2 linked regions of the Mytilus edulis genome follow. The protein of the gene in region 2 purifies or fractionates together with the protein of the main gene of each other region. This does not show direct contact. Links are inferred from orthologs where the notes say so. Each region holds a gene or a part of one and is shown on either strand. Other genes may lie near its edges. The genes, in order: ras-related protein Rab-10-like and RILP-like protein 1.

Region 1 (15,913 bases), on a different chromosome or scaffold from region 2:
CTTTTGCACTAGTTTCTAAGAATGGTACACCATGTTCTTTTGAAATCTAAAAATAAACATCAGGAATTAAAAATATATCGCTCTTCTCTAAAACACAATGAAGACTTATTTAAGTACACAAAATAGTAAATTCAATTTTCTAGGTTTGCTAGACTACAATATTTCTTCTGATATACTTATTATGAAAACTCCATCAAACTTGCACTAATTCTGCAACTGTCCGTGTACTGTTGTGTGAGCATCACACTTTAACATGTTAAAGTAAAGAAATGTGTGTTTTCATTTGTGTTTTTAAATAATAAATTTATTTTAACTACTACTCTTGCATGAAATAATACTCATTGTCTGATATTTTTAAAAGACTAATAAAAAAGAAAGAAAACTTCATTTTATACTTGCTTCTTTCAGCCAGCAATATAATAATAATATAGACATTTTTAATTTTAAAAGATCCATTCCTTTACATCATTTTACATTAATATTGATCATCATTTTACATTAATATTGATCATTTCATATCCACTTATCTTCAACATTTTATAAATCTGTGTTAAATATTTATATCTTAATATATCCTTATGACTTAATTGATCATTCAAGTATTACTATATTTTTTATAATGTGTATCGAATACTGTAGTATGTAATTTCACATGTTTCATGAAAAATTAACTAATTACAAAAAAAATCTGTGTTAAAGTCAAACCAAAGAAGCTTCCTTGTTTCATCTATTTGAATTTTTTCAATTGTGTCATTCATTTTATGTGATAAATTGAGATAAATAAGAACCAGTGCGTTTCAGTTTAATACATGTACTACTTACAGCGTCTCCTCTATCTTTCGACACTTGTCTCTTACTATCCATGTCACATTTATTTCCCAAAATCATTTTTTCTACGTCTTCATTTGCATGCTGTAAAATAAGAATTTAAGTTAATAACATGACAAGTCAATATTTCTATTGTATGAACACATATGCTGTAAATTATTGAGCTAAATCAAGATATTGTATCTCCATAATATCTTGACAGATTTTTAAGATTAATTATTAGTCTTTGCATTTACTTATAGCAATATAACAAACTGTTTAAATTTATAATATAGCAGTGAATGATTGCATTTATTTATTTAAAAAAGGAATAATTTCAAAGTTTTCACACAGAACCGTGAGAATTTTTCCATAATTGATAATAACAATAATACTTCCTCTTACCTCATCAATATTTCGTAACCATTTAGTAATATTTTCAAATGTTTTATGATTTGTTATGTCATAGACTAGCATTATTCCCATTGCTCCTCTGTAGTAGGATGTGGTAATTGTGTGAAATCGTTCCTGACCAGCTGTGTCCCTAAAAATAAAGATTGTATATACATTATTTAGTATTAACCATAACAAACAACATATCATATGGTACTTTTTAGCAAGTAAATACAATAGTATATATAATTAACTTTTTTAATTTAAACTAACATTATATGTAGGAAACAAAATTTTACATTCACATTAGATATATGTGCTTTGATTTTTAATTACAGCACACATATTATCATCCATACTAGGCTAAAGGCTAAGGTTAAAAACAAAATTCTTTGTGTAATATGTCAAACATTTAACTTCGTTTAAAAGGAAAAACTGACTGGGGACAAGTAAGACAATAAACTATTAGGGGCTCATTACAGTCAAAGGTCAAGGTCACGATCAATATTGATAGGTTTCCATATTTTCTTTTTTATGTTTTTTTTTTAAAGTTAAATTTAAACTGTCATCAAACTTTTCAGTATAGCGCATTATAATACTTAATTCATTTATCTTCTAAATTCATCAAAAATGATATTTTAAGAATAAATCTTTTCAAATTGAAAAATTGTTTCTTCCTGGTTAAAATTTTGTGAGCATAAATTGAATGTATTTGGTATATACAATGTATGCTCATGTGGGATGGGTCAGTAGAATCAATGGAAATACAAAGTATTTCAATTGGTACGTGTATGTGTAACTGCAGAGCCTGAAATATACAATCTACTCAATCATTTGACAGTTTGTATACTATTTTCACATGTAGAATATTAGACTGTGATCTTAAGTTGACCTATATTAATATAAAACCAACTGTTAAAACTTCCTTTCCCTAAGTGCTATTCATCCTTCAAGTTTTGTAATAATATACATATATTTATATGTATAAATATTTGAACAAGGTATATTGCTAACATGCAAATGTACACTTTCAGAAATAACAGTTGGTATCAATTATACATTGTAACAAGTTTTATAAAAGTATGTAAATCTTGTTTTACATACATGAAAATGCAAGTCAACAAATCACAAAATACAAACACTTTAAAACATCTTTTCTGAACAGTGCACACATTTCTGTCAACCAGATCATTCCACAGTGCTGAAGGGTCAGCATGCATGCATAAAAGAGGTTATAAGCCTTTTCTCAAATTAGAACTTTTTTCAGACATGTAACATGCTCTTGATGGCTTGATACATGTACTTCCTGATTTTGGAGAGCACTTAAGACATACTTATTTCACCTCAAAATGTGGAGATGAGAAAATATCCCATTACCATTACTGTTTCATAATTCTGTTTAGCATCAACACTGATAAGAGATCAATTCCTGTAACTTTTTTGTACCACAGACAGATTTGTGTAATTAAAAAAATAAATTGATTAATCTATAAAGGCTATTTATTGTAATAATCACTGCCCTTTTTAATAATATAAGTATACAATTTAACTTACCATATTTGTAATTTAATTTTCTTGCCTCCTAATTCTACAGTTTTAATTTTAAAATCTATACCTGCAAAACAATAAGAAAGTAATTTAGGTTATAATTATTTTTTCTGTTTCAAAATGTATTTCAGAGTTCACAGTAGTTTGGATTTACATGTAGCTTCAAATTCAAACCATTGTATTGAAATTATCTTTTATTTAGCTCATGCATATGCATGGTATAACAAAGATGTATTCAATTTGAGAAAGTATTAACAATCAAAGAGCAGATTGCTCTGAGGGATACGATTGCCATTGTTTCATTGACACATGTATGCATGTAGCTGGATAATATTATTTTCAAAACTAATTCAAATGACAAACAGACATGTAAAATAGTTACAAAATAGCCAAACCCGGATAAAAGTGTATGAACAATGTAATTACATGTAGGTCTATTGTGTTTTATTTTTGTACTATCAATACCAAGTTTACTTTCCACAGCAGTCACTGACTGACTCGGAGTGAGAGATGTCAGAGAAGGTATTTTATTTCACTCATTGGTTATTATATTTTATTAAGTGTCTGTTAGTGTCATTGATGAGTCTTTATGTAGACGAAACGCGTGTCTGGCGTACTAAATTATAATCCTGGTACCTTTGATAACTATTAGCGATGCACCGACGTATAGTCATCAATGTGCTGATGAATCGTAGTATGATGTAGATTTCAATTTGTATCTTATCACCTTTTTCCTACGTTAATTCTAGGAGGAACCCCATTCCTAACTCTTTAAATATTTAATTTCCTTTGGGTCAGTCATCATGGCTCCTTTCCGTACACATTTATCGGTTTAAATTGCATTCGTTTTTAATATAATACGATGTTTATTGAAAGAACAAGCTAATACTCGACATCTTGTTTATATTCAGAATTCACGGAAGTTACTGCCGGAAGGGAGACAACTCGAAACAACAATATGGAAGACTCCATTTCGCCTGAAGGGGTGTTCTACGATGTGGAATATATTTATTTTAATCTAAATGATGCACATGATTTAAAATTATGCAACAATAACCCTCAATAGCAGACATACATAGAAAAGATCCAATGAGTTATAAATTAATTAATTGAGTGGGGAATCCAGAGCAACCATTCAATCTAAAACCCCTTAAAGTCAAGAAAACTATACGCATGCACATAATTTCCAAATCAAACCCTGTGGCAAGATATATTCCAAATGCTTATTAAACGACCTAGATGGTTCTCAGTTTCTTTATGGAAGTACAATCTCAAATATCAGTTTCATAACGGTAACATATAAGAAAAACTCCACTTCAGTTCTTATATGAAAGAAATAGATTTATCGGTATTCAGAGAACTCTCGCATTTTATCAAAACTGGGAATTCCCTGTGACGTGTTTCTAAATTTATAACTACACTAAATATAAATACTGCTTAATTCTGATTTTCCATGTTGTTAAAAACACGCATCGAAGTCAAGGGAATTATCAAACATGAAGATTATGAAAAGAACATTATAGGAAAGTTGATTAAGTTCAATCCCTTTGTTTGTTTTTACCTTTTAAAGCAAGACAATCATAAGAATCTAAGATGTTCCTTAATGTTTAGAATAAAATGATTGACGTGAGGGAAATTGCTCTGAGCCACCGGTATAAGTCTACAGATTGCTTGAAAGCAATCGTATCCCAAAAACAACAATAATACTTTATTTTAAGAGGGTTACACAGTTAGCTATATAACTAATCTATCCTGAGGCCCTCATCATGAAAAATCAAACAAAATGCAAACATATGCATTGCATACATTAGTATAAAAAGTCAAGCATGATAATAATGTTCAATACAACTTGATAAAATGTGATGAAAAAATAGACATGATGACATAATCAGTTTTAAATATTATTTATACAGCTAGGTTGATTTCAATAAATGATCTGTTATTTGTATTTGAAAGAATGAACATTTTACTGTAAAGCCTCGGTCACACCTTAACGGATGGTTGGAACGCATGCCAAACGGATAACTTTTTTTCAATCCGTTCATATTCGTTGCATGTAGGTTTAGCGTACTTTTTAATTGTCGACGTTAAGTTTTGTCCATTGGAAAATTTGGAGCATGTTCAAAACTATGAACAGATGACCGGTGTCCATTTTCTACGGTACTCGTCCGTTTTGTTTCTGTTACATGAATACATGTTCGTTATACATCCGTTGGAGGTCTGGCAGATAAATTCACCAATGGACTTCTAATGGACGTCTAACGGATAAAACGAATGTTGAACAAATGTGAAACAGATTTCTACCGGACGTATAACGGATAAAACAGATGATGAACGAATCTGAAACGGAAAAATGCCAATAAAAAAATTCGCGACAGAAATGCCAATTAGATTTTTTATAGTTCATGAATTATTATTATTCATAATCGATCTTAGAGTAAGGGCACGTCTTCACAATCATGCAGCTCTTATTCAGGCCAGATACTGCCCTTCGGCGGCATTTTGAAGAACAAACCAAAACCAGTCACACAGAAACATTTTGAATATTTATGCAATTTACATGTATTATAATTGTCGCCTTTATTTTTTCCATAGATCTATATCTTGTTCATTAGTTTTATCCTGTAGGTTTCCGTTATGTGTCCGTTTTATGGGGTACCCATCCATTGGATGTACGTTGGACATCCGTTCTGTCCGTTACGTTTCCATTTCTCGTAAGTTGCATATCCGGTGTGTGTCCGTTATGAATTTGTTACACGTCCGTTTATTCGGTCAGTACATCAATGGACTCCCAACAGATAACAATTTTGTCAACAGACAACTCTTATTTTCATCCATTAGGCGTTCGTTCAGGCTATCCGGTAAGGTGTGACCGAGGCTTAATATTTCTTATTTTTTATATATACATTTTAAAATAGAAGAAGAAGACGCTTTATTTCTATAAAATGGGCTCAAAAGGAGCATAATATAATATCATAATATTATTTTTTTACAAATATAAACAATACAGTACCGCAAAAAATACTGGATGTAAAACATTTGAGTTATTACGACAAAGTCATTGTTATCTCCCCATAAGCTGTAAAAGACACCCCTGAAACTGGTTATCATGACCTTGACACTATTGATATAGTGTGTGGCTAGTAAAATACCAACTGGTCAATAAAATTCATGTTCATTGTATCAGTGTATGAGTCATCATCACCTCATCAGTTCAATCACTAGGTATCAAATCAAGTGTTTTAAACATCAACACTCACCTATTGTTGATATAAATGTTGTATTAAAAGCATCGTCTGAAAATCTAAATAGTAAACAAGTTTTCCCAACTCCAGAATCACCAATTAAAAGTAACTTAAACAATAAATCATATGTCTTTTTCGCCATAACTTGAAGAAGTGTTTTTGGTTTGATAAAATGGCGGTCTGATTTTCCTTTTTTATTTTTTCTGACGATCAATTCCTGTTTTTAACTGTCAAGATTCTGACTGTGGTTCAACATGTTAAAGTTCTTGTATATAAACAATGAGACTGTCTATTTTAGGACAATGATTAACAATCAACTGATCGACCGATCAAACAGTAAATTTTCCGTCTGGTCACGTCACTTCCTACTGGGTCATTATCAAGGGAGATAACTTCCGAGACAAATCGTAAGAGCTCCGAACCTTTCCGAAGATCTGCGATTATTCCTCGGTAGAATCCGCTACTCTATAGAAGAGGGTACGGAATCGGCCGAGTTGAGACGAATGGTCTGAACTATAGAAACAGACTCTCAAAATAGACTTCAGGTTATGTATACTCATATATAATATTATATAATTTAATAAAAAGGACTGATTGGTGCTAACTGGTAAACTCCAAAAATTATATCGGTTATGATTTTAAATCATTGTTTATTAATATCATGGAGTGGGGTTCTCATTTTCGCCATAATTTTTTTGATAATAATCAAGTCAAAGAATTTTTTTGAGATTGCCCCATGTTTTTCATTCAGAAAAAGTTTGCCAGAAATCGTTACAGCATCAGCTGTAAATGTTTATTGTAATATAAACATCAAGCAATAAGTTTGTGACAATTACAAAATAATCGGCTTAGTTTTAGAATAAAGCGCAAATGTCATTTCGTGTAACATTGGTAAAAAGGCGCCCCCTAAACGTCACCTTTTCTTTATTATACAGACAAACCTTTAACATTAAAGCTGATTTCTAAATTATTCCAAAATTTGTTTCCCAGTTCCCTATTTAACTCACAATCTAATAAGAAGAATCTTCCAAAAATCCTTCTTTTTTATTATTATTTCTTAACCTCTACGTCCAATGCGGCTGCCGTTGTGTTTATTTACATCTAGTGAATTGTATTATACTATGTCTCTGGTTTCATGTTGGTCTTTACAAACTTCTTCAATAAACTTCAAGATAATATTGCAACAGACATATTTTTCACTCTGGATTTATAGAAAGCAAATTTTATAATTGATTAAGAATACTTCTGTTTTAGAAAAAGTTGTGCACAGCGTATCATGCGTATTAGAACCTTTACATAGTCGAAAATTATTATAAAGGTAGCAAACTGATCTTCAAAGGAGAGTTGCTTATACAATTGAAGAGCTTTCGGTATATACTGCAGAAAAAGGAAATAAAAATGATAAAAATATGTCAGCATATCATATATAAATGGTTAAAACTTGTGACGAAATGAGGAACACATATTGTCAGCAGCATCATTTAACGCTTCACGCTTTATAAAGATACTTTCAACACATATTCAAAGTTTGGTGCGGTCTATGTTGAACTCAGTTATCCCATCGAACTTCAAATAAAGGATACAGTGGATGATAAATTTAAGTATGACTTATATCTTGAATTACATCTGGAAATTAATTATGAGAGTCGACTGAGAACAAAACTTTGTGACAAAAGAGATGATTTCAGCTTCCCACTTGTGGACTTTCCTTTTCTTTATATATACCACCATTTCAGCAGCGCCTGCATAATGAGTACATATCTCATATGATGTTCCAGGGCTTGTATTTCCTATCATGATTTCAATGATAGTTAGTGTCTGCTCAAAAGGTAGTCATAAAACCAAGAGTTCCAAGTGGTCATTCCTTCAAATATTTTACGGACTCTTTAACGAGTAAGTTGACTATTTTGGTGTCTCAGTTTCAAAGATGACGACTATGATACGTTCCAATTCTAACAACCCCGTTTATTTATCAACGAATGTGACATCCGAATTATACTTACCATCGGGGTTGTACTTGCATGCATGAGCAACACGATGGGTGCCACATGTGGATCAGGATCTTATTACCTTTCCTTGGCACCTGACATCACTCCCGGTGTTTGCTCAGCCTTAAGCTTTCTTTCTATGTTGTGTTTTGTATTGTGTTGTTTGTCTTTTTGTCATGGTTTTGCCAGTTTATTTTCGATTAACGAGTTTGAATGTCCCTTTGGTATCTTTTACGGGGCGCCGAATGGGACTCGTGTGGTTTTGTACTCGAAATTCAATTTCATACGGACAAAAGTGAATTTTGTTCAACGAAAATGAGTTCAGTTTATCAAAATTTGTAGCATACTACAAATTTAAAATTTTGTCATACAAAATTATCTTTCAGTGGACAAAAGTTACTTTTGTAATGACAAAATTCATTTTTGGAAACACAGACTTTACTTTTGTTACCTTATTTGAAAATTGGGCGACAAAAGTCAATTTTAGTTTGGATTCTGTGAACTAATTTGCATATAAAACTGGTATTTTGTCACAAAATTCAATTTTGTGTTTATTTTGTGTAGACAAAATTGAGTTTTGTTAATTGAATTTTGTCTACACAAAAATAAACACAAAAATTGAATTTTGTCTACACAAAAATAAACATAAAAATTGAATTTTGTAATGACAAAATTCAATTTTGTGTTTATTTTTGTGTTGACAAAATTGACTTTTGTGACACAAAATTCATTTTTGAAGACAAAGTTCATTATTGTCATGACAAAATTCAGTTATGTGTTTATTTTTGTGTAGACAAAATTGAGTTTTGTTAAACAGAAGTGAAAATTTAACACAAAAGTAAATTTTGTGTTTCAAAATTCATTTTTGTTACAAAAGTCAATTTTGTATGCAAATCAGTTTATATTTGCATACCTATTTGACAAAATTGAATTTTGTCTACAAAAATTAATTTTGTCATCACCAAATTCAAGTTCTCACATAGTTTTGTAAGACAAAAATGATATTGTTATGACAGAATTGAATTTTGTACAAAACCACAAGAGTACCATTCGGCGACCCGTATCTTTCACCTCTCTATTTATCAATTCATGAGACAAACCAGAGATTACTATAAAACGGGAAAACATATTTTGTTGGTAGGCAAAGGAACTTTGTGTTTCAACTGAATGTTAAGTCTTTTTTGTATATTTGTCTATTTATCTTTCTAATGTCCCATAATTTTCCGTACATTTTTTTTTCAAGTTACTAAGTCATGCATAGTATTTTGACTTACAATGTAGTTGAGTCGTATGCAATGTAATATTGATTTGCAATGTATGTGTAGTCTTATATGACTCAGCTCAGCGGTCTTACAACACATAAAAAAACAACCTCAAAAGTACCAGAGGGACATTCAAGCTCATAAGTCGAAATTAAACTGCCACCCGTCATGCTGATTCTAAATCTGGGTTCAGTGAAAAGAACATTGAAAATTAAATAGATTTTGAAGAAAAAAAACTGCCAACTGAGTCCCACAGTGTCCACTACCAATAATAAATGACCTGAAAGACCACGCTGACTAAATTTTGAAAGGAAACACAGGAAGGGTGTCGTGTTGTATAATTACTTTTAGCAGATTAAGAAATTAGTAAACAATGATTTTCAATTTGTTTTCGTTGTATAACATTGTTAACGTTTTAAACGTTGGCATACACATTTCTTTAATTTCTAGAAATGTGCAGTTTCTTTTACAAATGATCCGTATACTGAAACATCAATGAACATAAAAATGTTGGTGATTAGGTCAGTTTCGCACTGTTAATATAGGCCATTAAACATGGCCCATACAATGTTTGTTCTTTTAGGGTACCATTTCACTTCAAAGGGGAGGGGTTGGGTTATGTTTCTGATCCCCGATTTGATGAATAAAAAATATTATGGTCAAGCAGATGACAAAAAAAATATTCTGAGTGCAGAATTTCCCTTTACTTTAGTGATTTGCACGCAGTGGCGTAGCTTGCATGTATGCTCAGATGCTCAAGCATCCACATCATTTTGGCAAAAAAAAGTTTTTTTAATAAATATATGATTGCATGTGTTCACAGCAGATACAAAGGTGAGGATTTGAAAATGTCTTTCAATCATTTACGAAGCAGTATGAGTGGTCTTTCCTATAGGATCATTTAGTGTATGTAAACAAGATGGATAAATCGCAAAAAAGGTGTTCTCTACTTTTTCGTGAAAAGTCTACGTCGTAGCTTGTCGTCGGCTGCGACAAACATTGAGGGTGGTTATAACAAATCCGCATGTTTAGTTTGAAATTGAGCAAGTTGACAACTAAACCATCATATCCTGATAACGTTTTCTATCATGCGAAAGACAACGTGATAAAAACCGTATTTGTATAATGGAGTGTTATCATTTCTTTGCTAATAAATACCTTCTCCATCTAGTTACAAATATTTTAATTTTATTTTTAAGAAAAGAGTTCCTATGTCCCAGCATTACTCTTATTTTATTTATCGAAGATACAAAATATCTGGAGAGAAATAACAGCTTCAGAACAAATGCAATTGGATTTCAGTCATAATTTATATTTCCAATGGGTTCAAAAAAGATGATCAGGACTTATTTTCGCAATTGTCAACTGAGACATTGCTGATGATACAAGTTTCACAAAAAGCTGGCAGGAATTGTATGCATGACAGTGCTAACAAGACCAGACGGAAGCAGGCCGCCCGGTATTTCCATGTCCACTGCAACACTTTAAGACAATTTATAAAAAAAACCATTGTGAGGCTTATATTCCGAGAAAGAGGATCACTGCGATTCCTATATTTCGAAGTTCCATGAACAGAGGTGCCGCTGTACTTGTTATATTTTTGTGATGTCAAGTGTGAAACTTTAACATTAAATATTTTTGAATTGATTGAAGGTACTTTCGAGAAAACAATAAAATTCTGTTGGAAAATGAATATATATTGGTTGGTATTTTGAAATTAAACAAAAATCTAACTAGTGTCGGTTTCTAGGGGAATACTCATGCATAAATGGGAAAATTAAAAAAAAAAAAAAAAATTCTGCATAATATGGTCCCAAAATTTTTTCGCCTCGCTCCGCTCGCCGACAATTTCGCATCCACATCGTTTCAACACTGGCTACGCCACTGGCACGAGATAAAAAAAAAACTCTAAAAACGGTGGCCACCTTTTAAAGTGAAGTGGTTGCTCCCTTACTAGAACCATCTAGGCTCTTATTTAGCCTAGACTTATTACCTTATAAAGATAAAATAACGTTATGTAGGTTTAGAACTGGAAATCATCGGATGCCTAAGAAACCGGCAGATGGCGTTGAATTATTAGACAGGAAAGGTACTATGTACTTTGTAACTCTCAAGAGATAGGTGATGAATATCACTATATTCTAAACTGTACAGCTCTAATAGAAAGTAGAAGAGATCAGAAGAGGTTTTCTTAAAACTGACTATGTAAGCCGAGTAAATGTTTTGAAATTCGGCGCTTTACTTATTTCAAAAAATATTCGTGTATTCAAAAATTGGTGTAAATTAATTAGAATTATCAATATAGAAGTATGTTCTCCAGGTTGACCACCAATCTCTCATCGGCTTGTTGCTCGTTTTGTGCAAATTTGTCATGCGCAAAATCTGTATGTTATAATATGTAAAAATATCTTTCTTTGTACTATTAACTTGGTTTTATAAGAAATAAAGAATCTGAATCTGAATCTATTGTATTGACAGTGATAGTTTCCGAAGTTTTTATCAATTAAATGTCATCTATATAAGAAGCAATTATATAAGCACTGGCTACATGACGCCTGGACTTCACTGCATAAACAATCAGTTTACCATTTACACAAAACTAACCACCAGAGCTCTATGTGCTTTGGTTTTATTAAAATCAATATTCACAAACCTGAAATAAGAAGTAAATAAAAAAAAGGTATGTGACTTTTCCAACAAAAGCCAGACACTATCACAAACATAGAATAATCAACCATTATTAGGATAATGAGGAATCCGTGAAATATGAGATTACAATTATATCTGAATTGCCTCCATTATAGTGGGGACTAAGACAGTGGCATTATCTTCAGTTATGTCTTCATAATCAAAAGAAAATGAAAATTGTTCATACCTTTACATGGTAGAGAGGTTGTTTGAATAATTGTTAGTAGTTTGCTTGTCATTTGATTATGGCTTAGAGTGGGGTGCTCATTTTCGCCATATCTTTCCATGTTTTCCACAGTTTATGTTCAGGTCTATATGTTTTTGAAGTAAACTGATATTTCTACACGAAGATAACTTCAAATGCAAAATATTCTTAAGCTTGAAAACGTGTTTGTTTGAAAATAATCGTCTGAAAAGTTAGATTAAAGGGTGTTTGAAATTGCCTGATGTTTTGTCAATGGGGGACACATATTCGCCGTTTTTATACATCTATTTAAACCCAAATAACTGCAGCTTTAAACAATATTTTTCAAATCAATTTCATTATAGATGGCAATAGCAGACATTTTAAAGGTGTACAGAACTGAAATTTAGGGCAATCAGTCAAATATTTACTAAGAAATACTAATTTGAAAGTTATTTATTCAGAAAATTGGCCGAAAATCGTTATCCGTTTTTCGGTCCTTTGACTTACCGCAATTTTGTCGTAGTTTAAAATAAAATCATATTTGTTATAAAAATCTTAGTTACCGGCATATTTCTTCCATTTCAGCCATCTTTTGAAGTATTTACAACCCAAAATTATAAAACGGCGAAATTGTGTCCCCGGCGAATATGCGCACCCCACTCTAAGTACATTCCGAATTTTCTATTTTTATTCTGTTGAAGTAGCTCATCAACCCTTCTGTCTATCATGGTCTTCACAACTGACTCGGAGTTCATAAAAGTACTCAACATCGTCAAAGCCAGTGATTTGATATATTACAGTGCGGCAATTGGTGAGTAACAGATGTGTACTCGTCAATTTTGTTTTCTGCAAAAAAAAACCTTCATGTAAAAATGTTTCCAACAAAGGGCTCATACACTAGAATATGTGTTTCTCTAGACAAACAGACAAAGAAATGTGATAAATCCCGCCTGTTCCATCTAGAAGAAGAACCAGTGTCTTCAATTTCTAAAACTACCATTTAGAACGAAAGTTTACAAAAGGAAAAACTGCATGACAGATCCGGTGTCTGAAGAATTCCATGTGATCGTCAAGAACATTTATACTTTCCCCATTTTAGTGCAGTCCTTGAAATTGGAGGATCACAATGCCCTAGACTGAACAAAAATAAGGATAAATCTAAATAAAAAAAGGGATGAAAGATACCAAAGGAACATTCAAACTTGCAACTTGAAAACAAACTGACAACGGCATGCGAGCCAAAAAAGGAAACGAATAACATACAGATAAAAGAACACAAAATACAAAACACAAAACTAAAGACTGAGTTACACGAACCCAACCAATACTGGGGTTGATCTGAGGTGATCTTGAAGGGTAACATGATCCTGCTCAGGATGTGGCACCCGTCGTTTTGCTGGTGTTAGTACAAACTCGGTAATAAGTCTCTTTCAGTGGGTCAGATTCCAGAAAAGATTGTAGTAATGTTATTAGGAACAGATCCACAATCATCTGGGAAACAGATATTCCGTTACGATCAACCAACCCGTGATGGGGTGCTTAAAGTTTAAGAAGGAATTTCAACTCTTTGGTTAAAAGCGTCCTTGTAAACAGCAAAGTTAAATGCTACTGTTTACTTCTTTAGAAGGTCTATATGAAGTCAGTCTCAACTGAATAAAGGAACAAGTCAGCAAGAAGAGGGGCACAGTTGTTTCCCATGGGAATGGAGTTTGTCTTTTTCTTTTTTAGTAATGGCATTGTCAGTTTATTTTCGATCTGTGAGTTTGACTGTCTCTCTGGTATCTTTCGCCCCTTAAGGAGGCTTGCAGGTATAAAAATTTCAGAATTTTAAATTTTTTTGTTTGTTTTCATAACAAATTTTATTTTTTACTTTATTAGTTGTTACTTTATCATAAAAGCTTCCTTGTAAACAGCAACCCTCTGTCAAAGAAATAATTATAGGAATAACAAACCCTGTAGTATCGTATCAGCTGGGAGATATACTCCGTATTCATGCGCTGCTGGAATGTTGCCCATAAAAATGGAAAGTTCACAATAGGGAGCTGAAATCATCTCTTTTTTTTTATAAAGTTTGTTTTTCAACCAAACCTCATTATCAATTTTGAGATTTTAGTCAAGATATGAGGCAGACTTAACTGTATCGCATTCTGTTTTATCTTCTATCTCAAGTTCAATGGGATATATATGAGTTCATCATACTCACCAAATTTGGAATTATTTAGTGCAAGAACATCCTCTATGTAGCAGAAAGTAAAGTTAAATGATACTGTTTACTTCTTTAGAAGGTCTATATGAAGTCAGCCTCAATTGAATAAAGGAACAAGTCAGCAAGAAGAGGGGCACAGTTGTTTCCCATGGGAATGGAGTCTTTTTCTTTTTTAGTAATGGCATTGTCAGTTTATTTTCGATCTGTGAGTTTGACTGTCTCTCTGGTATCTTTCGCCCCTTAAGGAGGCTCGCGGGTATAAAAATTTCAGAATTTAAATTTTTTTTTTTTTTTTCATTACAAATTTTATTTTTTACTTTATTAGTTGTTACTTTATCACATGGAACAAAAATCATTCCAAAAAGTCAATTCGTTTTGGCCCAGTTGACTTTCAAAATGTATATATCATTGAAAAAGCTCCAATTTATCTCCATTTGGTGCAAAAATGCCATTGTTTTGCATTAAAATTGAAATATCTTTTTTAACTCATTGGTGACCTATATTTTTTATAATCTTTTTAAATAAGCTGTACTAAAACTAAACTATTGTAAAATTTGGGTGATTTCTGTAATTTTAGTTCTTTTTTTATTTCAATATTATCTTTATTTCTCCTATTAGTTCAACAGAAAAAAAGTAATTTTACAAAAAAATATGCTTCTCTCGAAGGCAGATTGTGAGCTTAAATGAATGGTGACCCCATGTTTTTATTCTATTTTTCTATTAAGTATAAGATAAAGTTCATTCATAGAAAAATATAGGGAAATCCTATATTAGAAAAAAAAAATGTTTTATACAAGCGAGCCCCCTTAAAGTAGTAAATATAAAAAAGATTTCCAGTTAACCATGCAGGATCCACAAGTCTAGATTCCTTAGATATTCTTTATCAGTGAGTGTGTATCTTGTGATTTAACCCCTCTACTTGAGGGTAAAAAAAAAAAGAAACCATTGAAATTCAACTTCATTTTATTTGGTGTGATCATATTATAACTATATGCCATATTTCTTGATCATAAATGATACTACATCATAACTCATGCTTAAATAAAGTACAAATGTCTGAAAGTATAAATATAAAACAAAAATTAACAACATTTAAATCACTGCACTCTCTTTAACATTCATCACTTACTTTCTCCCAAGTTCTCTCTCAAAAAATCATATAGTATTATTTGATATGGCAAATTTTTTTTAAAGTATAATAAAAGCGTGTTCATTTTTTAAAATCTGCCATGTGTTTGTCTAGAACCATTATACATTTTTACCCAAAAAAAAATGTCAGTATAGATAGTAGCATATAGATGAGCATTACTAAACCATGTCTGATCTTAAAATCAGCCTCTTACTTATCAACAAACAGCCTAATCAAATTTAAGACTAAAAACATCTCATATCAAAGTGAATTTTGATTGTGAAAGCTTTTGTATGAAAGAACCATTACCGTTAAAAAATAATGAACCACTTGTACAGAAAATTAACACATTCCCTCTGTGCAAATCTATCTTATTGTATGGCAAAAGCTAAAGCTTTCATGCAACTGATATATTTCATGAAATTTGTATTTATTGGTAGAAGGAGCCTGAGCGCCAAAA
Region 2 (16,405 bases):
CCATATTGACAGGAAATTAAGGTGGATTTTTTTTCTAGTAGATATATACGCTCCTTTGAACTTATAAATTTAGAATAATTATCATGACTACTGCACCACACACCAGAATTTCATGAAACTATATGTATATAATAAGGACATGCTAGAAGTGTATATCGACAGGACCGTGAGTACTATTGATTTTTTTCTAGGAGTTATGCCCGTTTGAACGTTGAATTTGCCTTAAATATACTACTTCAATAGTTTGTCATAGCAACTCTTCTGAAACCACAACAACAGAATTATATAAACTTTGTATAGTTTATTAGTTTGGTCCTTGATAGGTAAGCTTTACTGACCTGTCAAATTCCTGCTTGAGTAATAAAAAAAACATATAAATTGGAGATTATGGATTTAATCTTTTACTTTTTACCCTGTTTAAAATTGTTTATTGTACCACTTTAGGAATAAGTTATTATTAAGTTATCAACTGTAAAATACATGTAATATTTACAAAATTACAAAATTAAATCAGTTAGTCATTTAAGTATGCACAAAAAGATTTTGACCAATACATAGAGGACATAATATGTTAATGTACATATCCACAAGAAAATTCTTATCAGTTGACTTTTGTAGAGTTATGAGTCTTTGAACTTAGGAATCTGGTAGAATTTTGTTTGTCCAGTGACAATGTGAGAGTGGGGTATGTGAGCGTGCTCACAAAGGTTCCTTAATTTATAAATGTAGTTTGTAACTTTTATTTATAACTCGGTATTCCCTTGGAAAAAGAGAACCTAGCTTTAAGTCTGTACAAATGTCTTCACGATGATGTCGTGTTCAAGTTATGTTAACAGGAAATTTTGTTGAATATCTCAGTATAAACACCTACAGCAAAATTTCTCGAGGGCTTTCTTTTTTATCCTCATAAATGAATATAGATAATATCCCATGTCTGAATTTGGACGTAATCTCCAAGTTGTATAGTAGATTGTGAAAAAAACTTTACCGTGAGCGTTTTTATTGAACAAACAGAAAAGAGGTCGAAGATACCAAGGAAAAAAAAGAGTAATGATTTGTTTGGTTTACTGATATGATTATCCTGTTTTAATGAACATCTTTTGTAGTGCATGACATGTCACGTATTCGACTGAGACTCACGGTTTGTTTGGCATTTGATCATGTGTATGCCGTAATAAATACACTCATAAAATGAAGAAAAAAAACTAATTTCTGATTTCCAGTCTATTTTTATCGATTTATTGTCAGAAACATTAACATCTCAACTTTTGTTATCAATGTAAATTCATGTTCTCAGTCTTGGTTGGTGTACTACTTTTCCGATTTAGGTTTTAAGGGGGTTGTGATCCGTTATTAAATAGTAGAATTTTGGTTATAAGTTATATTTTTCTGCAGTAAATTAACAATGAAAATAATATATAAACCTTGTTTCGTTGAAAAAATAATAAGCATACTTATTAATCTTACAATGGAAGACGAAGTGATTTATAAATAAAAAAATATAAGGTATCATTTTTATTTATTTTTCTATCCCGCATCAATGTTTATTTATCAATATGTAAGGTCACGAAGGCGTTTTAATAAATGAATTAATCAACAACGTCATAAAACACTCGCTAATGGGATGGGTCAGGTGCTCGATAAGGACAGGAAGGGGAAACAACTCGTTACCTCAATGCAAACGCCATCTTGATGCTCGGAAATATTTTTTTCTGTTTACCAAAAGGTTGATTTAGCGGATCGTACATATCAGAATGACAAGTAAGTCAGCCACATAATATTTTGAGAACATGAGCTTGCGATCTATCTATATGACAATAATAATCGCACAGAAAGAACTATCTAAATCAGACGATCAAAAAGTTGTGCTATTGAAAATTATTGAAAGGAAATCGCAAGGCACTTGCGATTTCAACTTTTTTCAAGAAAATGACATGGACAGTTAAACTATTCTATTTTTTTTTACATAATATACCGTACACATGGTGTTTAAAGTTCTACTGCTCGATATTGGAAAACAAAAATTAAATCAAAAATCAAAATAACGAGTTTGCAGTTGCATGTTGACATTGTTGTTGTTCTATTGATATGCTAATCAAATACCACGTCATAAATTATTTACCACACAGTCATGCCGAATCCTTGAAATAGTTCCTATTTAAGTGTTGGCAGAATGTAAGTGAAAAACATCCTAAATTTTACATAATTTATATTGCTTGATATAGTCATCATGGTCATGTAATGTTTTTTTTTTACAAAAATGTACCATGTTTCATTGTTTGTACTCTCAGTCATTGTTAATTGTCAGGTCAGTTGTAAATTGTTGTATTGCACATGGTAAGCATTTTTTCTCAATTTATAAAGGCACCCAAAGGTGTGGTATGATTGCCAATGGGACAACTCTCCACAACTTGTGGCACAAGAGACCAAATGACACAGAAATTAACATTTCTATAGGTCAATGTACAGCCTATAGTGCAGTCAGCTATAAAAGGCCCAGAAATGACAAATATATAACAATTCAAGCGAGAAAACTTACTTATTTGTACGAAAAAAAACCACCAAAAATAATAAATATGTATTAAACATGTCATCAACAAGCGACAACCACTGAATTGCTATTCTCCTGATTTGAGACATGCACATACATACAGAATGTGGCGGGGTTAAACATGTTAGCTGGATACCTACCGTCCCCTAACCTGGGACAGTGGTGCAACAATACAACACCATAACAAACTATAAGAATCAATTGAAATAGACCTAATATATTGTAAGTAAAGTTAGTAAAGAAATCTTTATTTACAGTTTGGTTGCATATATATATAAATATTAATAGCAAGGAACATTCATGCTTTTAATTAGAGCTCTTTAAGGATTATGTACATTTTGGCTAACCATGGAAATTTCCGAGAAAGTCCAGCCTTTCCTTTGTACTGTACATTTTGTAATATTTGACCATTCTATATACATGTACATTTTTTTGTACATGTACAATGTATGCTTGATAGATAGAGCATAATTGCATACCTTCTAACATGTAGCAATAATTTCCTTTGTATGACAAGTTTATAAATCAAATTCATGAAATTATTGGTTACAACAAATGTAAATATGGGCCAATTCAAATACATCTTCTAAATTTCTAATGTGCATTCAACTTTAGTAACTCACCAGGAGGATTCTTGGAATGTAAAGGTTAGTCAGGGTGAGGCCTTTTTGTAAATAACGGACAATTGCATCCCATTATCCCTATTTTCTATGGCATGCAATAATTTAAAACAATAAATAATGTACATGATGTATCTGCGTTGAAAGGAGTTTTCCCTTGGGTAACATGCATATGTGCAAAATGGCACATCTCTAATACCATGAATACATGTATTCATTATTTTGGCTGTTTTGACATTTTTGATATTATTGAACTAAAAACATTCCAATTTTTTTTCTTCAAACCTGTAGATTTTGAGTGTTGCAGATGCTGTACATTATGCAGAGGTATGTGAAATGGAAAGAAAGAGATATATGAACATACAGTGACTGTTTTGAATTTAAGGTGTACCGGTAAGTACATTGTATATATATATATAATATAATTATTAAAAAAATGATATATCAGCTTATCAGTGAATGTTAAAACATTTATTAGAGTTCTATATTTCAGTTAAAGTAACAATTTTTGTTATTTGTGTATAAAGCAAGGCAAATGTAAAAGTTAATTTGTTAATACATGTAGTATATTGCTCATCTTACAATATCATATTTATAGAAAAAAATAATTTTATTGGACTGTTTTCCTCTGTTGGATATGCAATTGATATTAAAATGAATCATCAGTAACACAAAAAATCTTTATCTTCAGAGGCAGATTAAGGGGGCAGTGGCCAACCCCCACCCCACCCCTTTTTTGTGGGTTGATTATATAGTGGGTCTCATTGGAGTCTGAATGTGACGCGGGATTGCCGATTTTTTGTAAGCGTAACATGTGAAAGTCAAATTATTGTGTCTGGAAAATGGGAAATGAGGTCTAGCGGGACCCAGGAAAATAACAAAAAAATGAGAATTGCTTACATACATAGTGTAAGCAGGATACGGGAATCTGACAAAACGGTAAGCGGAATCCGGGATCAGAACCCCCCCCAATAATGAGACCCCCCTATATAGGGAATTACTGAAGCATGACTGGAATGGGACCCCTCTGATGACTATTTCTGGATACAAATGATATTTATATTATATAATAACATGCAATTGTTTTAAATTCTTGATTTATATTATCCGATATCTATATGACTCTTCTCTTTTTCAGGTAAAAATGTCGAGCTACAAATTGTACCAAAAAAGATATTGAAAATTTTAAAACTGTTTTAACAAGGGCATCAAAAAATAGAAAAAAAAGAACAATACCAGGGCTGAACTTTTGTGGCTGCATGCAATTATTTCTAAAATACCAGGAAACAAGATGTAGCTGCACAGAAGACACGGCAGATCATGAAATTGCATATAAAATAAGGAATGCTAGAATCCAAGAAATCTTTTAACCAAGTCAAGTGTTTATAAGACATGTAATCATGAAAATACTAACACATATATTAGTATTCACAGTCACATATTATATCCCAAATATAAGAACTATATGGTATGTGTGACTATGTCATGTTACAACATGTATGCTCAGAATATTTTAATTTCACAAGGATATGAACTGGATAAATGAAATATTGTCAACCATTTAAATAAAGCAGACTGGCTAACATAAAAATCAACTGTCTATAGATGTGAAAGTTCAAGTTGAATAAAATTGTCTCGAATTAACATACCATATATCCAAAAGTACTGAATTGCCTTTCTCAGAATATTTGTATGTTTAATAGAATGATAGCTGTATTTTTTCTTGGAACTGTATCAATATAAAAAAGGGAGATGTGGTATGATCGCCAATGAGACAAATCTCCACTAGAGACCAAAGTAAACGTTAGAAAGGACAGGTCACAGTTGTGTTTGTCATTGTGTAGCAATCTATAAAAGACACAAAGATTTAAAAGTGTAAAAATATTCAAACAAGATAAACAACTATCAATGATTCCTCTTAAACCTGCAGCCAACACACTGAAACTAAAACAACAGTCAATTACAGTCATATTCACAATAGGTACTATTTTTGGACAACAGAGAATTCAAAATACCATCAAAGGCAATAAAGGTCAACATGAGAACTCAATAGGATATTGAATTTTGGTTAATTTTCATTTACAAAGCTACTTTTGCAAAGGTACAAATCAAGTACTGTAAATACAGGTACATGTACCTAAATATTGATTTTGTGTATTTGTATATAAGGTACACAGTTTTCTCTGCTTTCAAAAGTTCCTATATGAAGCTGTCCAGGTTTCTTACTATTTTATCATTATTATCTGGAAGACATCGCTTATTTCCCCTGAGAAGGGTAACTCATGTTTATCATCAAAGATGTGCATCACAACCTTGGTAGTGTACTTGCTCACAATATGCCATTAGAGACATATATTCCATTAAAAAGTAGATAGATGGTTGTTTTCAGGGTTTGTATTCTGCAATTCTTGGAACACAAAAATAATAAAGAATGACAGGAAATAAAGTAAAGTGGGGAATTCAGTTTAACAACATACAGTCTGTGTTTGAGTTTTAGACTTAGCCTTTGAGTGTTAAAAGTTTCACAGTTCTTGAGTTATGTCCCTTTTTAACATTATATGCTAGCTAGTGAGGGCATCATCTGTGTCCCTTTGGACACATTCCCCATTTATTTTTTAGAAGTTACTATTAATTAAAATTAATATTAACCATGACATTTTATTTTAAATGAGTAGTTATTGTTGCAAACTCCATTAGAAATTTGAATTGAGATCATTTTTAGAATAAGGGAAAGGGGGAGATGAAAAAAAGGGGGGGGGGTTCAATTTTTCAGATTTCAGAAATAAAAAGAAAATTTCTTCAAACATTTTGTTTTTGAGAGGATAATATTCAACAGCAAAGTGAATTGCTCAAAAAGCAAAAAAAAAATTAAGTTCATTAGACCACATTCATTCTGTGTCAGAAACCTATGCTGTGTCAACTATCTAATCACAATCCAAATTCAAAGCTGAATCCAGCTTGAATGTTGTGTCCATACTTGCCCCAAGCCTTCAGGGTTCAACCTCTGCAGTCGTATAAAGCTGCGCCCTGCGGAGCATCTGGTTGGTTATTGCTTAAAACTTACCACACTTTTTAGTTATATTTATGTTAAGATCTGTATAATTTTTGGTGAAGATTTACAATTTTATTTTAGAGTAATAAGGGTAAAAAAGGAGGGGGTTCACATGTCGCACCATATGTCAGAAACTTTATGATTATTGCATAATATTCACACACAATACGAAGGGCGTATCATATGCTCATGGCGCAGCTGTTTATTATGGTTTGTTCTTAAATTGGAATACTATAGCCCAGGCGCCTGAGGTTATAATCCCTCATTCTGTATGCTTCCCCCCCCCCCAAGTCAGGACCCTGCAATTCAATGGTTTCCGTTGGTTTCTCTGTTTCACATTTGTTTTTCGTTTATTATTTGATAAATATTTTTAAGTAAGTTTTTTCGTTTTAATAGTTTTAGATTTGTCATTTTGGGGTTATATATATATAGAAAATGTAGTAATTGTTTTGCTCATTGTTGAAGGCCATACGGACGTCGTTGACCTATAGTTGTTAATTTCTGTGCCATTTGTTCTCTTGTGGAGAGTTGTCTCATTGGCAACCATTCCACATCTTCTTTTTGTATAGCTTGTGACTTTTGTAGCAAAAGCGAGACAGCTATCCTACATTCCTTCGTCGGTGGTGTGGTGTCCATAAAAGTTCACTCTTTGGTGAAAGTTTTTGGAATTTTAATAACTTTTTTAAACTGCCCTCGGTTTCTACCAAACTTTGAAGGAAGCTTGTTTATGATGTGAAGATCATTACTATCCAGAATTAATTTTTTTTTAAATCGGTTTATCCGCACTTTACTTATAAATGGACCTACTTTTTCTGCCAATTACATCCAGTTTAAAAAAAAACCATTGATTAGATTTATAATCCAATATTGATTTTAACTCGATTGAACCGAACCCAAAGATATATATAGTATCTAAAGAAAAAAATGTTTTCACCATTTTTTGTTGAGCCTGCTACATTTGGTACTTAAAAATTTTACAACAAAAGTAGGCGAGACCCTTACGATTTTTTTTCTATGATGAACTCTTTAGATCATAATATATATTAATGATAAGATGAAAAGAAAATAGAAAGTCTATGTACATCTTATATGAGTCACATTGACAAATACAGCATGTACAGTGTGGTCCAAAAAATGTAGAAAAATCAGAAACTGGAATGAAATACTCTGTTGTCTGTGGTTCTGTCATAAGCACATATATACTTACAAGCCGCTTTTGTAATATAAAATAGATAATTATGCATTCATATATTAGAATAAGAAAAGTCTGACAAATTAAGACGATAAAAATTAAATAATCATCACTGACACAAGAGTAACCCGGACAGTTCAAATAGTTTATACTGCAACGACCTGCAGGTAGAATGCGAATTACCTGTCACTAGATTCGAGGGGGGGGGGGGGGGGACAGGGAGAAAGGGGGTAGGAGAAAGGAGAGGAATTTAAGGCTGGGAGAAAGTAGAAAAAGTTGGAGAATGGAGAAAAAATAAAATATCTCTCCTTTTAAAAAATGATCTATAAATATTTCAAGAAAAAATATCTCAAAAGGAGATGTTTTATTCTAATGAGAGAAAGGAGAACGGGGGTAGGAGAAAGGAGAAGAGGGATGGGAGAAGGGAGAAGGGTACTCCCCCTCAGATTCGTTAATAATGTACAAAAATATTTGCACTACAGAAACAAATAAATTGGGGGGAATTTATTTTTCTTTTAGTTAATTACCATTTTATAATCATATATATCATGAGTTGAACAAGCGCATGGGTGTAATTAATACGCGTTAGTTAGTTATCAAACTGTGTAATGACCTTTTAAATTTAGAATAATCGAGTTCAAATATATCAATATTCATGTTGTAACTTATTGTCATTTTGACGTATTTTTTTTTAAACCAATGGCAAGATACGATTTATTTTTCGACTTTCTCTGTTATTTAGCCGTTTGGTATGGTAAAGTCCCAACAGCTTCGAATAAGATCTTCCCAGCATATTAGCATTGGTTTCCCTCCCCCTTACTTATATTCCCCTGATAAGGAAGATGGTCAAAGTATATTTGGGAAAACATGACTAAAATCAAATATCTACCATGGATACATTTAGATCTGATAGAGAAGTAATGGCAGAAGAGGCTGATGATGCCATTTCAGTCGTTGACGTATACGACCAAGCCGCGTCAATTGGCAAAGAATTCGAAAGAATGATAGAAACATTCGGTGTCGAAGCAGTAACAGATTTGATGCCAAAAGTGATCAAAGCATTAGAAAATTTAGAATCATTAGCAGCTAGATATGAACGTGAGAATACAGAGATAACGGAACTCAGGACAACAATTCAAAAATTGGAATCTGAAAAAAACGAAAAGGCACAAGAAAGAATGAAATATGAAGAGGTTAATGTTTGTTCTTAAAACTTGTACAATGACAATGTTTTATGTCTTTTCTTTTGCATATTTCTTATTTTTCATATTATTTGTTAATCAAAAAATTAGGACAGTAAGATGAAAGTATGTTCTTTGTTAATTGCACTTATTTGAGACTGTTTAGTACAATTCTAATGCCAGTATTTGTTGTAGGAATCAATAATTATAATATGCAGTGTATTGATCAATATCTTTACAGTGATTAATTCAAAACTTTAAAGCAAACAGAGCAATTCTATTGATGAATTTAATTAATTTTGTGTAAATACTAAATAACGTGAAAAAATTATCTGTACATGTCAGCACAATAAAATAACATTAACGAAACAGCATGAGCTACATATATATAATATGAAGCTTTTACATGTTATAAGTCTTAAGTTTCTTCAACAGACTTCTAATCATCATGGAGGCTATTGAGAATTATAGCAAGTAAAAATAAGAGCTTAAATTCAGGACATGACCATCAAAATAAAACCACATTATTTAAATGTCACAAAAGCATAAAAATTATAATCATGATAATCAAACCAAAACAATTGAGGAAGATACAAATTAAAATTCACAGTAAAAGATTAAGAGCCATAAAGCAGATTTATTATAATACATGTAAGTTAAAGATAGGATTTTTATTATATTCCTGTTGGTCTCCAGAAAAGAGAATAATGGGTAAAAAGTATAGAACTCAGATTATATGTGTGGAAAATGACACTAAATTAGAAAAAAACCAGATTTACACAGAAATGATAATCCTGAACCATGATGCTTTCTCGTTGATATTGATCTATCATGATCATGTCAAATGTACGAATGCTGCTGGCATATGTGTGGTTCCATGAATACATCATAGTTAATTTCAGATTCTAAGCTGAATTTAACTAAAAGTTGTAAACACCAGTACAAAAATACATGTGTATGTACATATACTTTGTAATTTTAGAATAATAGAACTTTTGATGGAAATGTGAAAAAATTAAGCACTTTTAGTTAAAAATTGTATCTAAGTGTTTTAAACATGTCTTAATTTGAAAAAGAAAGATTATTAAGTGATTAACTTGACTCAAAATGTAATGTGTTATGACCTAATATGACACCATGTTACAGACCTTCAGCTGTGTTGTTTGATAATATTGTCTGTTATTGACTTTCTGATGATTACCTCAAAACTTGTATTATTAATATCATGGATATTGCTATTATTAGGAGCTTGAACAGATAGAAGAAAACTGGCACAGAGAGACAAAAGACCTATATAATTCTATTAATAGATTAGAAATTGACAACAGAAGGTTAAAAGAACATCTACAAAACCAGACTGTAGCTGTAAAGGAGGAAGTAGCTGCTGTAACTAAACGTTAGTAAATGTTTGATATGTAACCATGGTGACCAGGGACAGAATTTGTAGGACGAATGCATTGACAAAATTTTTCCCTATTATTCTCCTTCAGAAATGACCAAACCTACATGAGAAATATGAGGGGGGGCTAGAGGGGGTCTCATCCCGATTTCCCGGTTTTTTTTTGTCACAAAATCCCGAAATCCCGGACATATTTTGGTAAAAATCCCAATCCCGATAAACAAGAAATCACCATTTAATTAATAAAGAGGTCCTCCACTATTTTAGGTAACGAATACTAGTAGACACATCTGACACAACTTTTAAAGGAGGCCGTCCTGGTAAACTTTGAAAATTAAACCCTCTGAGTAATGTTAATCTTAAATATTTGCTTTCAATTTGTGCCGATGATTTTGACCAATATATTTAGTACGTATACATTTTAAACACGTCAAGTTGGGGTATTTGTTTTCTTCAAAATTGCTGCTGCAGAATGCCATAAAATATTTGTATATGATATTCGATTATAAAGAAGACTGTGTCTGTGAAATTATATGTGTAGTAAGGCCAAGAAAAATACATGTGTTTAAGGTAACATCCCCTAAAAAATTAAGTTAGGTAGAAACAGTCAGGGGACTTACTTAAATGAGTGATTTTTAAATCACTTATTTAAGTAGCAAATTAGAAATTTTGTTATAAATTGTGATTTTGTAGTTATACTAAAATTTTAAACACATAGCATAATATCTTTTCATTAGTAAAATTGAAAAAAATGAACTTTTTGCTTCTTTCAAGTAGAAAGGTTTATGCCTTTGGTGCAATAATTTAGCTGCAAATTCTATTTGGGTGGATAAAATGCTATAATAATGGCCTAACTTAATGAACTGATACTTTCTTAACAGATTTTCCCCAGCAGTGGGAGTATTTTTCCTGTAAAGTTCAAGGTTTCAACTTTCAGATTATGTAATAAAATTCTACTGTTCGCGATAAAAATTTCACTGTTCGGGGGTGTTAGTGAGGGTTATTAGAATAATGATACTTAAAGAAGTGATTTTGCTAGCAAAAATAGTTTGTTTTTTTCAAACGTTTTTGACTGGTTCATATGGGAGAAAAATATTGACTCTACAAGTGCTTGTCCACCATGTCCACATAACATAAAAAAACCTTTTAAGAGTAGAGTTAGATTATAGGTACTTAAAAATAGGGTAGATATATATATAGGGGTACCGGAAACACATGTGTTTTCTTTTAGGTCTTACATGATCTTACTCTTATTGAAAATATCCAAATCAAGTCTAACTTTTGGGAAGGGTTGTAAAGAGGCGTTATGTTCAGGGATAAACGCGAAATAAAATTCCAATTTCACGATGAACGAAAAATAAAAAAAATGCTTGCACGTTGCCGTTTTTACCAATTTCACAGTGAAGCACAAATTTTTTTCACGGAAAGTTGTAAATTAAAAAAGCCAAAACACGTTGCACGAAAAAAACCTTTACCACACTCTTTGGGTATACTGATACTCTAAATCAGAGCGACACTAATACCAAGGAGCTTATACATAATTTTATCATGAATTTTGGTGAGCATTTCATTCGCGTACAGATTTATTTTTTGTGATGTGTCAAAGGCATTTGATCGTGTATGGCACATGGGACTTCTATATAAGTTAAGAAAATATGGAATAAAGGGTAATTTGCTTAACTGGTTCAAAAGTTATCTTTCTGATAGACAACAAAGGGTTGGAGTAAATGGGTTTTTTTCTAACTGGAATACTGTCCAGGCAGGAGTCCCTCAAGGGTCCATCTTTGGCCCTTTTCTGTTTTTATTGTTTGTGAATGACATAGTAGATGTGGTTACAAACAAAATAAAACTGTTTGCAGATGACTTCTTGTCTATATTGTGTTGTACATGATGAGAGATCAGCAGCTGAATCCCTGGGGCAAGATCTAGAATCATTAGGTCAATGGGCAGGAGAATGGGGTGTTGTAACCTTCAATGCAGACAAAACCAAATCTATATGTACTTTACGAGAAAAAGTAATATTGATGTCACATCACTATGCATGAATGATGCACCTCTAGAAAATGTCTCAGAACATAAACATCTTGGTATAACCTTATCATCTAATGCCAAATGGTCTAGTCACTTACAGGATATTTATTCAAAAGCTTGTAAACGTCTTAATATTATGAGATATTTAAAACATAAGATTGATGGACAGTCTCTGGAAAGACTTTACATTGCATTTATAAGGCCTATTTTAGAATATGGGAACATAATTTGGGATAACTGCACACAAGAAGAATCAGATCTAATTGAGTGTACAACAAGCTGCTGCCAGAATTGTAACTGGGCTTCGAAAGGGAACTCCTAGATGGAAATTATAAAAGGAATTAGGTTGGGATTCCCTTCAGAATAGACGTCAGAAAAACAAATTATTGTTTCTTCATAAAACTATTTCTGGAGATATTCCTAATTATATTGCTGCTGATATCTTGTCGTATACAAACACTTATGACAAGTATGGACTGAGAAAAAAAAGGAAATTTAAAACTCCTCAGTGTCGAACCACAGCCTACATGGCCTATAAGAACAGTTTTATTCCACATACTCTTGAAAAGTGGAATTCACTTGATGGAGAAGTTAAAAATATTTTAAGCTTTACAGGATTTAAAAGAAAACTGAATGAGGACATAAGTCCTTGTCCTGTTTTCTTTTCCACTGGTTCACGTAAAGTTAATAGATCTATAATCCACTGCCAATTAAGAAATGAGGCTAGTGATCTAAAAGATCATCTCTTCTGTGATCATTTGTCGGACAGCTCTATATGTGCCTGTGGAGATCCAGTAGAAGATAATTTTCATTTCTTTTATGTTTGTCCATTTTACATTTATCAGAGATATGAGCTCTTTCGACAAATAAGTAACTTTAATAATGTCAATCTTGATGTCCTACTACAGGGTTGCTCAGACTTAAATATTGATGAAAACACTGAGCTATTTACATATGTACAACAATATATTCATGAAACTGGAAGATTTTTATAATATTTCATGTGCTACTATACTGCTTAGAAATCAGCTTATAACCACAGTGTACCACTCTTTAATTAAAGACAAACCTAACTTTTAACACAAAAAAAAACAACCAATTGTGTTTAGCATCTTTTTGCAAATAAATTTATACATATTTTATTTTATTTTTTGTATTAGTAATTATATTTTCAAAAATCAAGAAATTAATAGTCTTGTAATAAGATGGTACACTAAATTACTTATGTATTGCAAAAAAGGGCCAATCAATTCTTGTTATTCATATAAATAGAACAACTTTGTTGCAGTGAGTTTGTGAATTTGAGTAAAAAATAACTTAATGATCTACTTGATTCCTAACCAACACTTATTGATGTGGTATAAAATTTGACACTACCTTCAGTAGGTCTTGCTTTGACTTTGTTAACATAGTTATTTATATATGTATACACAATAAAATACTTCAAGAAGTGGGGGAATTGCCTCCCCTGAATCACTGCAACAACGTATTATGATCTATTAAATTATCAGAAAATTATATACTACTGTATCATGCATGTTATTCAATCCATCTTGTATGGGAAAGGATTTGTATAGGCACTGCCTTTTGTCCAATCCCTTTGTTTAAATGTACATTTGATATTTGAACAATAAAATATTTTGAATTGAATTCGCGTACAGTGGATATTAAAGCTGAAATCATCTCTTTTGTCGTAAAGTTTTGTTTTCAACCGACCCTCATTGTCAATTTCTAGATGTAAGTCAAGATATGAGGCCGACGTAACTGTATCTGTAGTATCCTTTATCTCTAGCTCGATTGGATAGATGCGTTCCACATAGTCACCAAATTTTGAATTATTTAGTGAAAGAACATCATCTATATAGCGAAAAGTAGAGTTAAAGGATAGTGCTAACTTCTTATCTTTCTTCCTAAGAAGTTCCTGCATGAAGTCAGCCTCATAATAATAAAGAAACAAGTCGGCAAGTAGAGGGGCACAGTTTGTTCCCATTGGAATGCCGACAGTCTGTTGAAAAACACGTCCTCCGAACGTAACAAATATGTTGTCAATCAAGAAATCAGGCATCTTGATAATATCAGTTTCAGAGATTTTTTTGTTCGAATCAGAGTGATCCTTTACAAAGTAGGATTTATCCCTCCCTAAGACAAGATACTTGTATCTACGTTGGCCATTCTTTTTTTACTAAGCAAAGCAATACCAACTCTTTCAATTTGTCTTTTAGTTTGGAATGTGGAATACTAGTATACAGAGTAGAAAAGTCAAATGTTTTAATACTGTTACAAGATGAAAGAGAGTTAGATTGTATGTACTCTAAAAGATCTTTGGAATTTTTAAGTATCCACATCTGATTCACGCCCCCTCTAGAATAGGCAGTTTCACAATAACTTTGAAGCCCGTCTTTGATTGCTGATAAAATAGATGTTAATAATTTAGAAAGAGGTTTCGTGGAGCACTTGAGCACTATCTCTTTCATAAGAAGAGTGATTTTTCTATTGTTCTAGTGTCACTGGAAATCCCACTGAAATATGGCACTGGCTACGGTTACTTCAAAAAGTGAGCAGAAAATAACAATAAGATCTGGATCTAATCTGTTTCTAGATGCGATTCTGATTGAAGTATAATGAAAATGGTACTTTTATCTGTCCAAGGTACAGTTTTTTGTCAATCCCGTTATATTTCAACATAAAAATCCCGATTTCCCATGGCTAAAAATGTGGGTTTCCCGTATCCCGATGTTTTTCTATCCCGAATTCCCGATCTTTAAACAAGGCAATCCCAATTTCCCGTTGCTAAAATCGGCCAATCCCGGCGTCCTGAAAATGGTCTCGCCCCCCCTCAAATATTAAATCATTTCTACAAAGTTCTCAAGATGGGAAATAGTATATATATTTCAAAAGAATATTGAATAAACATTACAGTAACAAGTATAATCTTTGCAATTCTTGTAAGCATTTTTCTCTATCATTACTTAATGCATGTTGGAAAAAATCATCAGGTTTTTTTTTTTGAAATTGGACAACAGGCTTAACATGTTCAATGTCAACATATAACATGTATAAATCGAGCAGGTTTTTTATAAAATATTTTATTAAATTAAAAAGGAAAAAAGTGTCAATTAAGGCAATTATTCTTTAAAATGTAATTATCAAATAACAAGGTTGGGAAGACGTTTGAAATGTTGTTTACTTTTTATTTGCTATTAATTTGCAGATAGCCAGACAAATAAGATAAAGATCATTAAGAGTTAATTAAAATTTAATTCGATATCATGAAAATATTGAATAAATATGATGAAAAAAATAAAAAATGCTGGCTGTACTTTCAGAAACTGAGGAAAAAGAAATTGAAGTTCTGATGAAATTAAAAGATACTGTTGACAAGCAGAGAGATGATCTAAGGAAACAGAAAAGAGACCTGAGTCAGAAAAGTATAGATTGTGAAGCAGTAAGAATATCTCTCAATAATTTGAAATTGTATTCCTTTTGTGAAATTCTTGTTGTCAATAGCTAGAGTATGGTAAATAAATGTAACAATTTATCTTGATGTCTTAATATGATAGATTATATTGTTGTAAATATTATGTAGAATTCTGAGCATTCATCAATGAACACAATCTTTGTAGAAAGTAACACGATTTATTAATATTTCACTACATGTATCATACAGATGTCACAAAGTTTACTTAAAATACAAAACACACTGCATACACTATGACAGTTCTAACCATTCCAGCTATTCTGTTTATTCGTCAACATCTCTCTGCTCTCACGTCCCTATCTAACAACGTCAAAATATGGGGAACAATATTTACAATATATTGCTTAATCGCAGAACTGTAGACAAAGTCACAGTCACAACACAATAATAAAATCTTTTTTGATAAAATATAAGTCTTTAAAAAAGGGGTAATTTTATCTAAGATTCTAAGACATAAATTGTCAATTTGATTGTCACAAATTGAGTGCTTGCATTGCATTAGTTGCTAGTAAAGGGATTTTTGTGACCATTCAATCAAAAACTGATACTTATCATAACTCACTAACTGTGAATCTAAAAATACAATATTGTATTTATATGAAGAGTGAAATAATTAAGTGCCAGTCTTTGTAAGAATCAGGCAATTTAGGTAAAAATTAAAACATGATTAGAAAAAACCCACCGAGCTAATCATGCTATTTAATACTACATTTTGTAACCATCATCCTGAGTTAAAAAGTGTTAGTCTTTTGTACGTGTGTGTTTGGTAATATCAAATAGCTTGGTTAGAAAATTGGTTAGAATGATAGCAAATTACAGAGTTATCTCCCCTTATTCGTTAATTTCTAGTGCATTTCAACCAAATTGTATCTTCTATTACCAGAACAGAAAATGGAAATGA

The links.
Region 1: the proteins of RILP-like protein 1 (region 2) and ras-related protein Rab-10-like purify together in Homo sapiens (co-immunoprecipitation; 3 studies listed by BioGRID and IntAct, with this or other methods). This does not show direct contact. The link is inferred for Mytilus edulis from reciprocal best matches to the Homo sapiens genes RILPL1 and RAB10.

Annotation. Positions count from the first base shown.
Region 1 is NC_092344.1:102,929,670-102,945,582, reverse strand, and holds the start of ras-related protein Rab-10-like, read right to left. Parts: upstream 6,396-15,913; 5' UTR 6,136-6,395; coding exon 6,009-6,135; intron 2,816-6,008; coding exon 2,755-2,815; intron 1,352-2,754; coding exon 1,213-1,351; intron 913-1,212; coding exon 823-912; intron 47-822; coding exon 1-46. UniProt on the Homo sapiens protein: The small GTPases Rab are key regulators of intracellular membrane trafficking, from the formation of transport vesicles to their fusion with membranes.
Region 2 is NC_092349.1:38,122,684-38,139,088, reverse strand, and holds the start of RILP-like protein 1, read left to right. Parts: upstream 1-8,247; 5' UTR 8,248-8,305; coding exon 8,306-8,608; intron 8,609-9,841; coding exon 9,842-9,992; intron 9,993-15,352; coding exon 15,353-15,471; intron 15,472-16,405. UniProt on the Homo sapiens protein: Plays a role in the regulation of cell shape and polarity. Plays a role in cellular protein transport, including protein transport away from primary cilia.